2 linked regions of the Drosophila melanogaster genome follow. The protein of the gene in region 2 interacts with the protein of the main gene of each other region in a pairwise test. Each region holds a gene or a part of one and is shown on either strand. Other genes may lie near its edges.

Region 1 (6,407 bases), on a different chromosome or scaffold from region 2:
CCTCTTGTCCATCCAGCCGAGGATGAGGGCACAGGTCATCGACATCACACAGGTGAGGGTAGCCAGCAATAAGACGACGCCTAGAGCGGTATGTCCCTTGTAAAAATTGCTCACATACTCATAGATGGGCTGCATCACCCAGAAGTTGACGGTGCTGCCGAATCGGGCAACCGACAGCTGCAGGCCGAATACCATGTTCAGTTCCTTGCCCTTAAACCAGAGCACCGCATAGCTGTTCTGGGCCACCGCCAGTGATTCGGCGCCAATGCCGAAGATAAACCGTCCCAGGATCATCATCCAGAAGGCGTCCAGAATGCCGCCGCAGGCAAAGATCAACTGACCCACCAGCAGGATCATCATGTAGATAATCGTGCCCAGTCGAATGCCAAACAGTCGATCGATCAGGAAACCTCCCACGAAGCACAGGACGACATTGGGCCACGAGTAAATCGAGTAGATGAGTGTGAACTGGGCGGAGGTCAGATTAAGATCTTTCTTGAAATAGTTCTGCAGGGCGCCGGGTGCATCGTAACAGAAATAGGAGCCGAATCCCAGCAGGCACATGAACACCAGAGCCATGAACCGGTGGCTCGTGCTCGAGGGCATGCAGCAGCCGCCGGACGGAAGGCTCAGTTCATTGTCACGCCGACCGGCCCGACTGACCACTTGGTCCTCCTCCGTCGGTCGCGACACCTCCTCATTGTCCACGATGCGTTCCTCGTCCTCGCGCGCCATCTCCACTCACCGCTGGCACAATCCGCACTGACCAGTTGGATGTGGAGCCGAATCCCGCAGAATGGGCGTATGCAAAACTATGTGATATGATTAATCGGCTTTCTGATTTCCTGCCGCAGTTGTTTTTTCTTTTGCTTTCGTTTTTCTCTTTTCGTATTTGCCGTTTCTGCAAAATATTTGTATCAATTTCTGCGAACGAGTGAGCGAGTTGAACTCTTCTGCTTTGTCTTGGCTTATCTCGCTGCTTTTGTTTTTGTTTACTGTACTAGTACCCTTTGTCTAACAACTATTGTTGTTGTTGGCTGTGTGGGCTAGTTAGTTGTCTCTGGGTTCACTGGTTATCAGCAGTTTTTCCACTCCACTTGCAGCTGAAGTTCGCAGTGCGGTGTTGGGCAACAAATGTTCGGTGACGTGTGCAACCGCACTTTATTGCTGATCGAATAAAACTAAATTCTTTCCTCTGCCTAATTAACGTTAATTACGCATATACAATGGCGGGGCTGCCAACTCGCTGTAGAGCAGGGTTGTCGACGCAGCTACAGGTGCATTCGAACAGCTGGCAGGCGATAACGATCACAAATATGAACGGTATTCCTGTTTTGCTCTCCATTATAATCGAAAGTTTACTCTAATTGAAATGCAAATTTTAGTAAGCCATGATTATTTATATAATAGAATTATATAAATAAAAATAAAAACGCTTGATTATATTAATAAAACAAGATAATCATTAATTGAGAAACTATTTAAGTACAAGAGCTCAACGACGCAGAAATCTCTTGCATCTTGTTTTGATTTAATTTAGTATAGCCTGACAACCCTAATCCAGCAACGCCGAGTTGAAGCATGTTTTCATACTTTTTACCGGGTAAAATGTATTTAATTATATAATTCAGCGGCCCTTGCAGCAATGGATCCCATCGACACCACCAAGCGAAAGCCCAGACGCACCTACGGCACGCCATCCTACACGTATCGCAATCGATTTGCCTATGCCCTCTTGGCCGCCGGAACTGTGCTCTTCGGCATTTGGAGGTGAGCAGATCTTCGAACTTAACGTATAAATGTGGTTTTAATGCTTGCCACCGCCTCGTTTTCAGCCTGACTCCCATCCAGCGCATTGCCAACGAGAAGCTGTCCCAGGCGGTGGCCCAAACCGAACAGGAGCGCGATAGGAAAGGACTCTTTGAGTTCGGCGCACCAAGGACTTCGCAGTTCATCAGGGACGCCATCAAGGAGAGCGAGGAGCAGAGGAACAAATAATGGATCGCAAGACGCGGCGAGCCAACTTCAAAAACCTGCAGCCTCGGTAATTTTAATTGAAATAAAGGCCAATAAAATGAATGTCATTATCTAACCGAACACTTTGTTTTCCTTTCATCCGAAGTTTGACGCGAAGCACCAAAGCAGCCGCAGATACATTATCGTTATCCAACTTCTTTGCCACACCCGAAAATGCTGAAGAAGTTCCGTCATGTCTCGCCGACATTCCTGTTCAGCCCGATCCTCCTGCGCCAAAAATCAAACCAATACGCACCAGCAATGTGTTCGAAAAACCTGGGCCCAAGCCCAAAAAGGCACCCAAGCTCAAGGCCAGCACTGTGTCAACGTCGAGTGGGGCGCGTCGTGGACGCGGAAAGAGCAAACAACAGCCCAGTATCAGCAACTTTCTACGCAACGAGCAGATCTTCGCGGAGGTTACCGCCCAGCATTGCATGGCGGACAACTTTAGTGCGGATGACATTGAAATGGCGCTGGCGCTGTCCAAATCGGAGAGTGAGAAGCATGGACGCCTTCGTCTGCATGACGATGACGATGCGGTGGTTGACCTACTGGATGATGAAGAGAAGTCCACTGAGAGAATACGTCATAAACTGCAGAAGTATGGCTTCCGCACAGCCGCCAAGGAAGGTAAGTCATCTTATAAAGTGTAAACGGTAAGATTGGACTTACGTTTTATCCCCATTTAGATTATAAATCTCTGGCGGTCCTGCCCGTGGTGGCCAGCAAAGGAGGTAGACGTGGCAAGTGGGCCAATAGGTTTACTTCCCTAACTTTAAGAAATCCGGATGTGCAACAGAAGAAGCTCGAGGAGAAAGTGTCTGCATTGCTTGGCCAAGAAATGCGCGGCAAGGAGCCCAACGGGGAAGACTGTTGTCTGACACCATACACTGTGATCACCGCAGCATTGAAGGAACTCAGAGCTGAGGGTGAATCTCGCATCCTTCGGGAACCAAGCGAAGGGCCCATAGATGACCTAGAATCATACTACGTAACCGACTTGTTTGAAGTTAGTCGCACGCCGGCACACCATCTTTTGAAGAATTGGGCAGCGATACAGGGAAGGGATTTTTCGCCAGAGCGTGAGACCCAAAAATGCCGCCAATTAAGGCAACAACATGAGCTTGTCTACGCTGAGTTGGAAAGGTACTACGGTGATCCACAGAAGTTAGAAGAGGAGGTGATGCAGGAACTGGATGAATTGGAAAAACTGGTGGCAGATAACATGATCGAAGATGATTCTGTAGTGATAAATATTGTGGAGGCAGAATCATCGTCGACTGGTAGCAGTCCATCAAAGGAGCCGCCGGATAAGCGTCCAAAAATGACAATGGAAGATAAGGAAAACCTGCAGCCAACAACATCAAAAGCCAGCTTGACTGTTCCCGCCCAGTCAACCCGCTGCACCTCGCCGGATCTCTTTGCGGACTCCGAAGATGAGCCGGATATAGTAACGACTGCTATATCCAATGAACCCGAAGACGTTAGGAATCTTTCAATGAAAGTTTACAAGAATGTCAGCATTAGCGAACGATCATCTTCGGTCGCTGAAATAGAAATTGTGTCCAGCAATGATGAACCTTCTCAGATAACCACGTATGAAGTGTTTTCCAGCGACGAAGGTGAGAATCTCCATTCATATAGACAGCACACCCCTTAAGAGTATTTCAATTTGCTTTCAGTAAAGACTGTTTCCAACGCTACGCAGGAGAAGATTTCTTTTGATGGTGAGTAAACACAGAAAAGTTCGATACCAAAATCTCATTCATATTTTAATTTCCAGACAAACCCATAGATGACTTTATAGACCTAACACAAGAGTTCGATATGGTAGAATTTAATGAATCAAAGCCTAGAACCCCAAACTTAATTGCATCATCGGAAACAGATTCCAATGTAGACAACCTAAATGGTGATACAATTCTAGATTTTAGTTCCCAGGAGGTAAGTTGTCCCATCTCCAAGGAATTGTACGCAAAGTATGCCAAGGTGGAAACATTCCCTGTGTGGAATGCAGCAGCAGAAGAGGAGGATAAAATTGAGTTTTCCTTAAGCATGGAAAGAGATTTGAAGAGTTCCGAGCAATCGTCGCATCAGCTCGGCATATTAACCACTCCAAATGACACCGAACACAGTTCAAGCTTCAGTGAATTGAATTTCTCGAGGAACTCGCTTCGGAGGAGCGTTAGTCTATCAACGGATCTCAGTTTCAAAAGTCCGCTTAACTGGAAAATGAACTCATCAGCCGAGAAGAGGGTCTCGCCGGCTGCTTCTCCTTACAAACAGTCGGATGCTAGTGTGGACTTAACCCAGAACAGCGATGACGAAAACGACGCAATTCTGCTCTCCGACGAGGAAATCAATTACTCCATTTGGAAGGGCAATAAGACCGTAAAAGATTTGGATATCGGGGACGATAGCTCAGACAGTTGCTTTGCATCTCCGGTGACGAAAAAGCGAGCTATCCCACAGTTCCAAACTGAGGAGGATCTGGATGCCTTCTTGATGGACTTTTCCACGGATGGCAATGGATCGCAAGGTTCACATTCTCCCAACAAGAGTGCTCTTAGCAAGGAGCGTGCTGAATTCGGAATACTGGATGCTGCTCCGTCTCAACCCTTCAGTCTATCTGAACTTCAGAGTCACGCCGACAAAGAGAAGTCATCGGATAACGAAATCAACTGGGCAGAAGCTTCATTTTTGGATGCACCAGCAAAGCCATTGTCACGCAGGAGCAGCCACAAATTTAATGAGCTCTTGGCGAAAATAAGCAAACCAGCGCATAACTCTGGCGACGACTTTGACGAATTCGATCAGATGGTTTTCCAAAGCACCAAGGAAGCCGCCTCCAGTGCTGGCGAAACAAGTGACATGCCTCAGGGATTGGACCTTTTGTTGAAGGGAGAGATAAAAACGACAGCGATCCCGGAGACAAGAGCTCCAGGCAACCAAACTCCGATTGAACCGCAGCAAGTAGATGTTGACGGCAATGTCTACTCCGTGCGTGTTTGTCACACACCTAAGCCAGATTTCGCCACCCTCCCGGAATCGGAGATCCTCCAGCAGCTCTACAAGTACGGCATAAAGCCACTAAAACGCAAACAGGCAGTGAAAATGCTCGAATTCATCTACAATCAAACGCATCCCATAATGAAGACAGCTGCTGTTCAGGATTTACCAGCCAGATCTGAGCCAATTGTGCGTTCCAAGTCAACTCCTGTGATTATGGAGAGACCACATTCGCAAGTAGCAAAGTCAACCTCTAAAACATTGAAGGCAATTGGGACAAAAAAGGATTTAACATTTAACGATGCCACGGGCGAGGAATTGCTGCGCTTTTCCCAATCCCTTGCCCCGAGTCTTTGCGATGACTTCGAGACCTTTGTCATGCAAACGAACGTTACCAAGAAGACACCACAGCCGCTGGTGCCACTGCACATCGCCTGGCACAATCTCATCTGCGCCAATCCCCAACTGCACGAAAGTGTACTCACGTACGAACCCATTGATTTGCAGGCAGTTTACTTGCACCTGAAGCACATGGGGCATCGATACGATCCAAAGGACCTGAAGACCTTCTTCGACCGGCGTTGCATTATCTTTCGCTATGAACTGGGTGCTCCCGGCAAGCAAGCAGAGCGTCATGTGCGAAGGCACACAAAAAAGCCTTCTAAAAGGAAGTAGATTCTACAAGTTATGGAATTTCATTGTACTTATACCTAACTTTGAATGCATTGAATTATTTTCTAGTATTTACCTTATATTGTATTATTGAATAAGATATTGTTACTTGGTATTTTGCGATCTAAATTTATTGTATGTAAAATTGATAAAACTCAAATACATTCAACACTTTTGTTTGAAGCATTGTTAACCATTCCTATTTGCCATTTCAAGCTACCCACTAGCATCTACGATTAAAAAACACAATATTATTTTGGGGGCCGTAGATTTATTTGATGCAACTTCAAAATACAATATTACAAAACTAATGGACGAATACAAATGTATAGAGTTTGTAGTAGATACAAGACACTGATATTTTCATACGAGTAGAATATTGGACAACATTAAATGCAGCATCTGTAGACAGACTACCCTAAATGGGTATTAAATGTAAAAATACAATTCGATCTTACGGCGCTAGAAAAGACACTTGGACGGTATAAATTTCTTACGAGTCTCTACGTGAAAGGCACATTGTCAGATTGCGATTAATGGAATGGAATCGGCTCGAACAAAACTGGTTGCTAATGAAACTATTTGTACTGCATGCAAAACTGATATGGTTGGTGGGTGCAGACGGGTTAGTGGGCTCTTACAGTAGCTAGGATTAGTTTTGGGGGGAGAGAGATATATAAGAAGCAATTCGTAGCATTGCCGGCATGTAT
Region 2 (5,129 bases):
CTATAAATCCACCGGGCCTTCGAAATAGAGCGGGTTGGATTCATCATGTCGGTGTTGCATCTTAATGCTTTATTAACTTCTTTAACATTATTTTCAGTTGACGCAGTCCACGATAGTCCACCGCAGAAGCGCCCGAAGGAATCTTCCATTGTCATTGCTCTAAAGGAAGCTGTGAAAATGGAACCCAATCCGAATGCAGGCCGAGTTAGAGCAGAACCCGACAATATAGATACTACTGAAGTGTCTGTGTTCAACTTCAAGGGACAGGAGTACGTACAAATGTCTATGGAGTATTACTTGCAGGAAAAGCGGAAAATGGCTAAACTTTTGCAAGACTATAAAAATGCTTTAAGAAGCATTAAGAAACATATTTCCCACCTTGACCTTTAACTTTATCAATGTAATACATGTTGTTCTTCTGTCAATTTACTGAACGTTATCTTAGTTTAAAAGCACCTGACGAATTGGGAAACAAACCTAATAATTTATTTTATTATACTTGGAGAATAAATACTGATAAATATTAATTAATTTGTTACACTTTAAATTTCAGCATTTAATTTCTTTCGTTTAAACCTTAAATACCGCAAACAAATCTAAATTATACTCAGTATTATCTATTGGAAATATTTTTAAAGTATTTAGTTAAAATGTTTACTTTTACAAGCGCATTAAGATGGTGTTTGCCTAGATACTTTTAGCTTATGCGATACCTTAGCATTTGTAAATAAAATGAAATGGGTCCTCAACTAATCGCTGAGCTCCGGGGTATCTTCAATATCGCTGTCTACATCAATGTCGTCGCTCAGATCCTCGTCATGATCCTGCAGTTCTTCAGGCACGCCCAAAAGAAGACGTTTGCGCTGCAGCAGTGCTGCCCAGCTGAGACGAGTCTCACAAAGCGGACACTCTCCTCCAACTGGGATGTAATGACCTGGCTCGTCGCCCAGAAGGTAATTGGCCAGGCACACCATATGGCATGTCAGCCGACACATTTGATTTGTGCATCCCAGGCGGGATTTCTCCGGTTGCTCCATTTCCTGCATACAAAGGTGGCACTCGGAAGCCCACGCCACAGGTGGAGGAGGTACTGCATCATCAGGTCTCCTACGTTGTGAGGCACTAATGGAAACCTTGCCACTCACAATTTCCATGTGTTTAGGCAGTGCCTTGCTGAATGGCCTCTCGTAATCCGTTTCTAGCCAGCGAACGGTGAGCGGTAATCTATTCCAAGGGCCAACCCCCAGCATATTACTAAGGATCCTAAAGTTGTAGTCAAAGAACGTCTCCCTGGGCAGTTTTCGTTTTAATTCAGGGTACATTTTAAGCCTAGTTGAAAGCGACGGCTGTTGCCAAGCCCATTCAAACTGGAGTGCCACTGTATTATTCGGGAATCCGTGCACGATCATTACCATCAGCCACGGCCCTTTGCGACTGGTTTTCCTCGCGCCACCGAAATCACAACCAAGATTGTGTTGGCGTATCCGCCGTTTGGGGTTCACGGTGAAGCCCACGTAGCATTTTCCCCGGTAGCGAGGATCCAAGCTCTGACTGCATAGCAAATAGACGCCGTAGAAGTGGCCCTTCAGCGCGACGGATTCCTCCTGTTGAGAAGCTGTGTCCTGTGGGTCTGTGAATTCACCAACAGATAGATTAATGAAACTTGCTTTGTGTCTGCAACCAAAAACCAACGACAAAGGAGGCGACACCCTAACTAAAGCAATGAGATGAGGTTTTCAAGATTTTCTAAAATAAAAAAAGAAATAAAATTATTTTAGAATTTTAGTTTGGCTAAAATAGCTAAGAAAATAAGGTGTGTTAAGTGGTAGCTGTTTCTCAGCCAAAAAGGAAGATAATAAATGGAATGCAAAATAACTTGTTCCAGGTTCTTATACTATTTTATTGGTAAACTTTTAGTTGCCAGCGCTAGTTTAACTCTAGTTTTATGTTGGCCCCCGATGCCACGCCATTGATTTGCTGCTGCTGCTGGGGATTTCCAGGCTGTGCTTGGACAGGCTGTAGGGCAGAAGACGTCTGTTGACTATCCGCCGTGGAAGCTGACCCGTTCACGTTGGGGGTAGGTGCTGCTGATTCGCCTCCCGTTGCTGCCTCCATGCCGTTCGCCTGCTGTTGTTGCTGCTGAAGCTGCTGTTGTTGCTGCTGGGCGGCCGTAACGTTTTCGATCAGTTTGATGCGCTTGCGAGTGTAGTGCTGCCACTGCAGAATGGCCTGGTCGTCTATGAACTTGCAGCACTGCGAGTTGACGATCTCCCGGCGGAAGTGTTCGTACTGCAGCAGATCGAGGAAGTAGAGGCACATTGGGTACATGAGGTATTTCGCATAGTCCGGCTCCTTCCAGTACTGCAGATACTTCAGGTAGTTGATGAACGACTGGTCCTTGAAAAATCCACGCTGTGCAAGGACTGGCACAAGGCGTTGTAATTGTTTATTTAGATATACGCGCAAGATGGTGAATAAGTGAATATTAGGTAGGTCGAGGTAATATTATTCTTACAGTTTAGATAGTTGGGGTTCGACAGGCACTGCACGAACTCCAGCTCGATCTGCCAGCGTCGCTTCTGCAGCTCCTCCGACTCGATAGCAGCTACGGAAGAAATTGGAGAGCATTAGTCCCTGAGAAATTAGCACCACTTTTGGTAGATCTCTGAGGATTCGGCATGCCAAGCGGTGTCAGTAGGTGTTAGATTACAATGCGAAAATGGGTGTGGATTGGCGTGTACTTACTCTTACCCTTTCCGTACATTTTGGCCATTTTGGACTGGTCTTTGGCTTTGGAAAGGGTCTCGTTGGGTCGGTACTTGCGTCTATTCAGTTTCGGTGTCGGGTTGGGTTCTTGGTTTCTTTCAGTGTGCTATGTGGATGTTCTGAGCTGTGTGTTTTGGTGCACCATCGAATTGAAAACGAAACGTCGCGGCAAACAAAACACACAAGTAAAATTATAAATATATATGGGCTTCGCTAATGAAATAAAATGTATGGCGCGGCAGTGACTGCACAGAGCAAACGCAGGTTGTGGGCCAAAAGAAAACTCGGGAAAACAGTCGACCAGGTTTCTGGGCGCAGGCGGTGGGTTGTCGCTCCCTTTGTGTTGGTGATTTCTTGTGGGAAGGCAGTTAAATTCAGTTTTTAATATTGTCTACAAACCGTAGGAGTTCATTTGGATTGTTGATGGCCGGCGACAACCCTACTTCTGTCCCCGCCAGGGCTGCAAGCTCATCCGAATACGATTTTTTTTTCGTAAAATACTGCTTTTCCGTATATTTTACTTGGTGTGTGCTAACGGTATTCTTGAAAATGTTTCTGTGTTAAAAATTAGAATTAGGGTTGTTTTAACCAACAAAAATCTTTAATACCAGAGTAAGTTTAAACAAATCTGAGCGTATGTATCAAGAAGTACAGCGATCAATGGTATCTACAAATAATCATAATAAAACAATTAAAATTTATATTAAAATATAAAATTCCGACCAGAACATTGACAATTTTTAATTATAATATGTAATTAACAATTGTGTGTAGCCTTCAGTATTTATTTCACTACCCCTAATGTGATGCGCATTTAATTCGGTATTTTCACAAGCCTACGACGAACGCTGTGGAGAACAATGCCTGATTTTTTTGTCAGCCTGAAAAGCAGCGAGGAAAAACTTGAATTTCGTCTGTAAAACATATCTAATCGGAACCAAGCCACTGAAAAAGTCGTAGTTTAGGCTAAATAAACGAGAAATCAACGAGTGAAACTAATTTCTATCTGTGGACAGAACGCCCCCGCACCTATTTTTGTGCTGAGGAACAAGCGAAGCAGCGACGCACAATTCAGAAATGTAAGTATTAACAAAATTATGTAATTTAAGTGCATATGAAACATTATATATGTATATCCAACTATTTCCCCGATTTCGACGGGTTAATCATCATCCACAAAAAATTCATGTTGGCGAAGAATCTATTATTAGATTACAGTGTGCTCTGCTTGAATACAACTCCGAAATGTATATACATATACAGATGCATACAGATGTACACATATGTACATATGTGCATATGTATCTATACAGCACAGCACAGCTGCCGTCCAAATAGAACCAAAGATTGTTTCTTGATAGGCTTCTGAATCATTTCAATGTAATTACGAATGTAAGTCTCTTTTGTGTCCGCTTAGGCAAGCCACAGTCGCAATTTTAATTGATCGATTGGTTTGCCACACTAATTCGTACATCTAAATTCGAGATAAATAGACCATTACCTAAAACAGTATTATAGAGTGAAAAGTGTACAGTGTGTAACTGGTATAAAAAGTGATTCCGACCCTATAATGTAAATGTTTCTTCGATCCGGACCAATGGCCTGGTCGATCTGACCACGATCTACAACGCCCAAATTGGCATATAACACTGTAGTTCCATACAATTGTCATAATAGTTAAAATAGGATTATTAGAAACGTATCAAATAAATGTCTTCGCTGAGTGCTGGGTATCTCATAGTCGCGACTCTTGACTAAAGTGATCTTTACTCCTAAACATCTTCCTATATACATGTGAAATGAATCAATGTTCTTAAGTGGGAAAATTCATAGGTAATATTAAAATGTTTAGTGTTGTAACTATGACCACGGCTTTATTTACGGGGGTGCATAAGGGGTAAAGCCAACGGTTGGCTTTTCCACATAGGAACAGCTGCAGATTTATTGGTATATTTTAAAGAACTGTCTGAGCTTAGCGTTTATGGGTGTCAGCTGGCACTACCTGTCCGGGGGTCGTCCTGGCGTACCTGACTGCCTACAAAACTCATTACATTTTTGCTTTCCATTACAGTTGCAAACCGGTTTTCGGCGCAGAAACACCCACTCGATCGTCCAAGAGTCAAGCGGAGAACAGTGAAAACATACATTATAAGGATCAATTTATAAAAGCAAAGCCGCAACAATCATGAACACTGGAATCTCCTTAAACGAGCGCTTTACGCAGATGCAGTCAAAGCAGCCGCCACAGGGACGCGGTCGCAGCCGCTCCAGGAGCAGGAGTCGCCGCATTGTGAGCAGCGGAGCCGGAAATCAAGGAATGTCCGCGGTCAACTCTAGGCTGCTGAATGAATTCAAGAGGCTCC

What was found. Proteins that work in one complex are often made in the same cells at the same time.
Region 1: the proteins of slx1 (region 2) and mus312 interact in a two-hybrid assay, tested with the Drosophila melanogaster proteins (2 studies listed by BioGRID).

What each region holds. Positions count from the first base shown.
Region 1 is NT_037436.4:7,327,594-7,334,000, forward strand, and holds mus312 (mutagen-sensitive 312), read left to right. Parts: upstream 1-1,538; 5' UTR 1,539-1,645; coding exon of another isoform or gene 1,646-1,770; intron 1,771-1,835; coding exon of another isoform or gene 1,836-1,997; coding exon 1,998-2,044; exon of another isoform or gene 2,045-2,095; intron 2,096-2,122; coding exon 2,123-2,646; intron 2,647-2,705; coding exon 2,706-3,638; intron 3,639-3,698; coding exon 3,699-3,743; intron 3,744-3,799; coding exon 3,800-5,700; 3' UTR 5,701-5,878; downstream 5,879-6,407. Other genes in the region: mrva (minerva), read right to left, coding at 1-735; CG42307 (uncharacterized protein), read left to right, coding at 1,646-1,770, 1,836-1,998. UniProt on the Drosophila melanogaster protein: Regulatory subunit that interacts with and increases the activity of different structure-specific endonucleases.
Region 2 is NT_033777.3:4,640,045-4,645,173, reverse strand, and holds slx1 (nuclease slx1), read right to left. Parts: upstream 3,212-5,129; 5' UTR 3,179-3,211; coding exon 3,166-3,178; exon of another isoform or gene 2,774-3,165; coding exon of another isoform or gene 2,746-2,773; intron 2,606-2,745; coding exon of another isoform or gene 2,516-2,605; intron 2,424-2,515; coding exon of another isoform or gene 1,927-2,423; exon of another isoform or gene 1,882-1,926; intron 1,631-1,881; coding exon 750-1,630; 3' UTR 538-749; downstream 1-537. Other genes in the region: Dlip2 (dorsal interacting protein 2), read left to right, coding at 98-390; MED31 (mediator complex subunit 31), read right to left, coding at 1,927-2,423, 2,516-2,605, 2,746-2,773; CG9775 (uncharacterized protein), read left to right, coding at 4,952-5,129. UniProt on the Drosophila melanogaster protein: Catalytic subunit of a heterodimeric structure-specific endonuclease that resolves DNA secondary structures generated during DNA repair and recombination.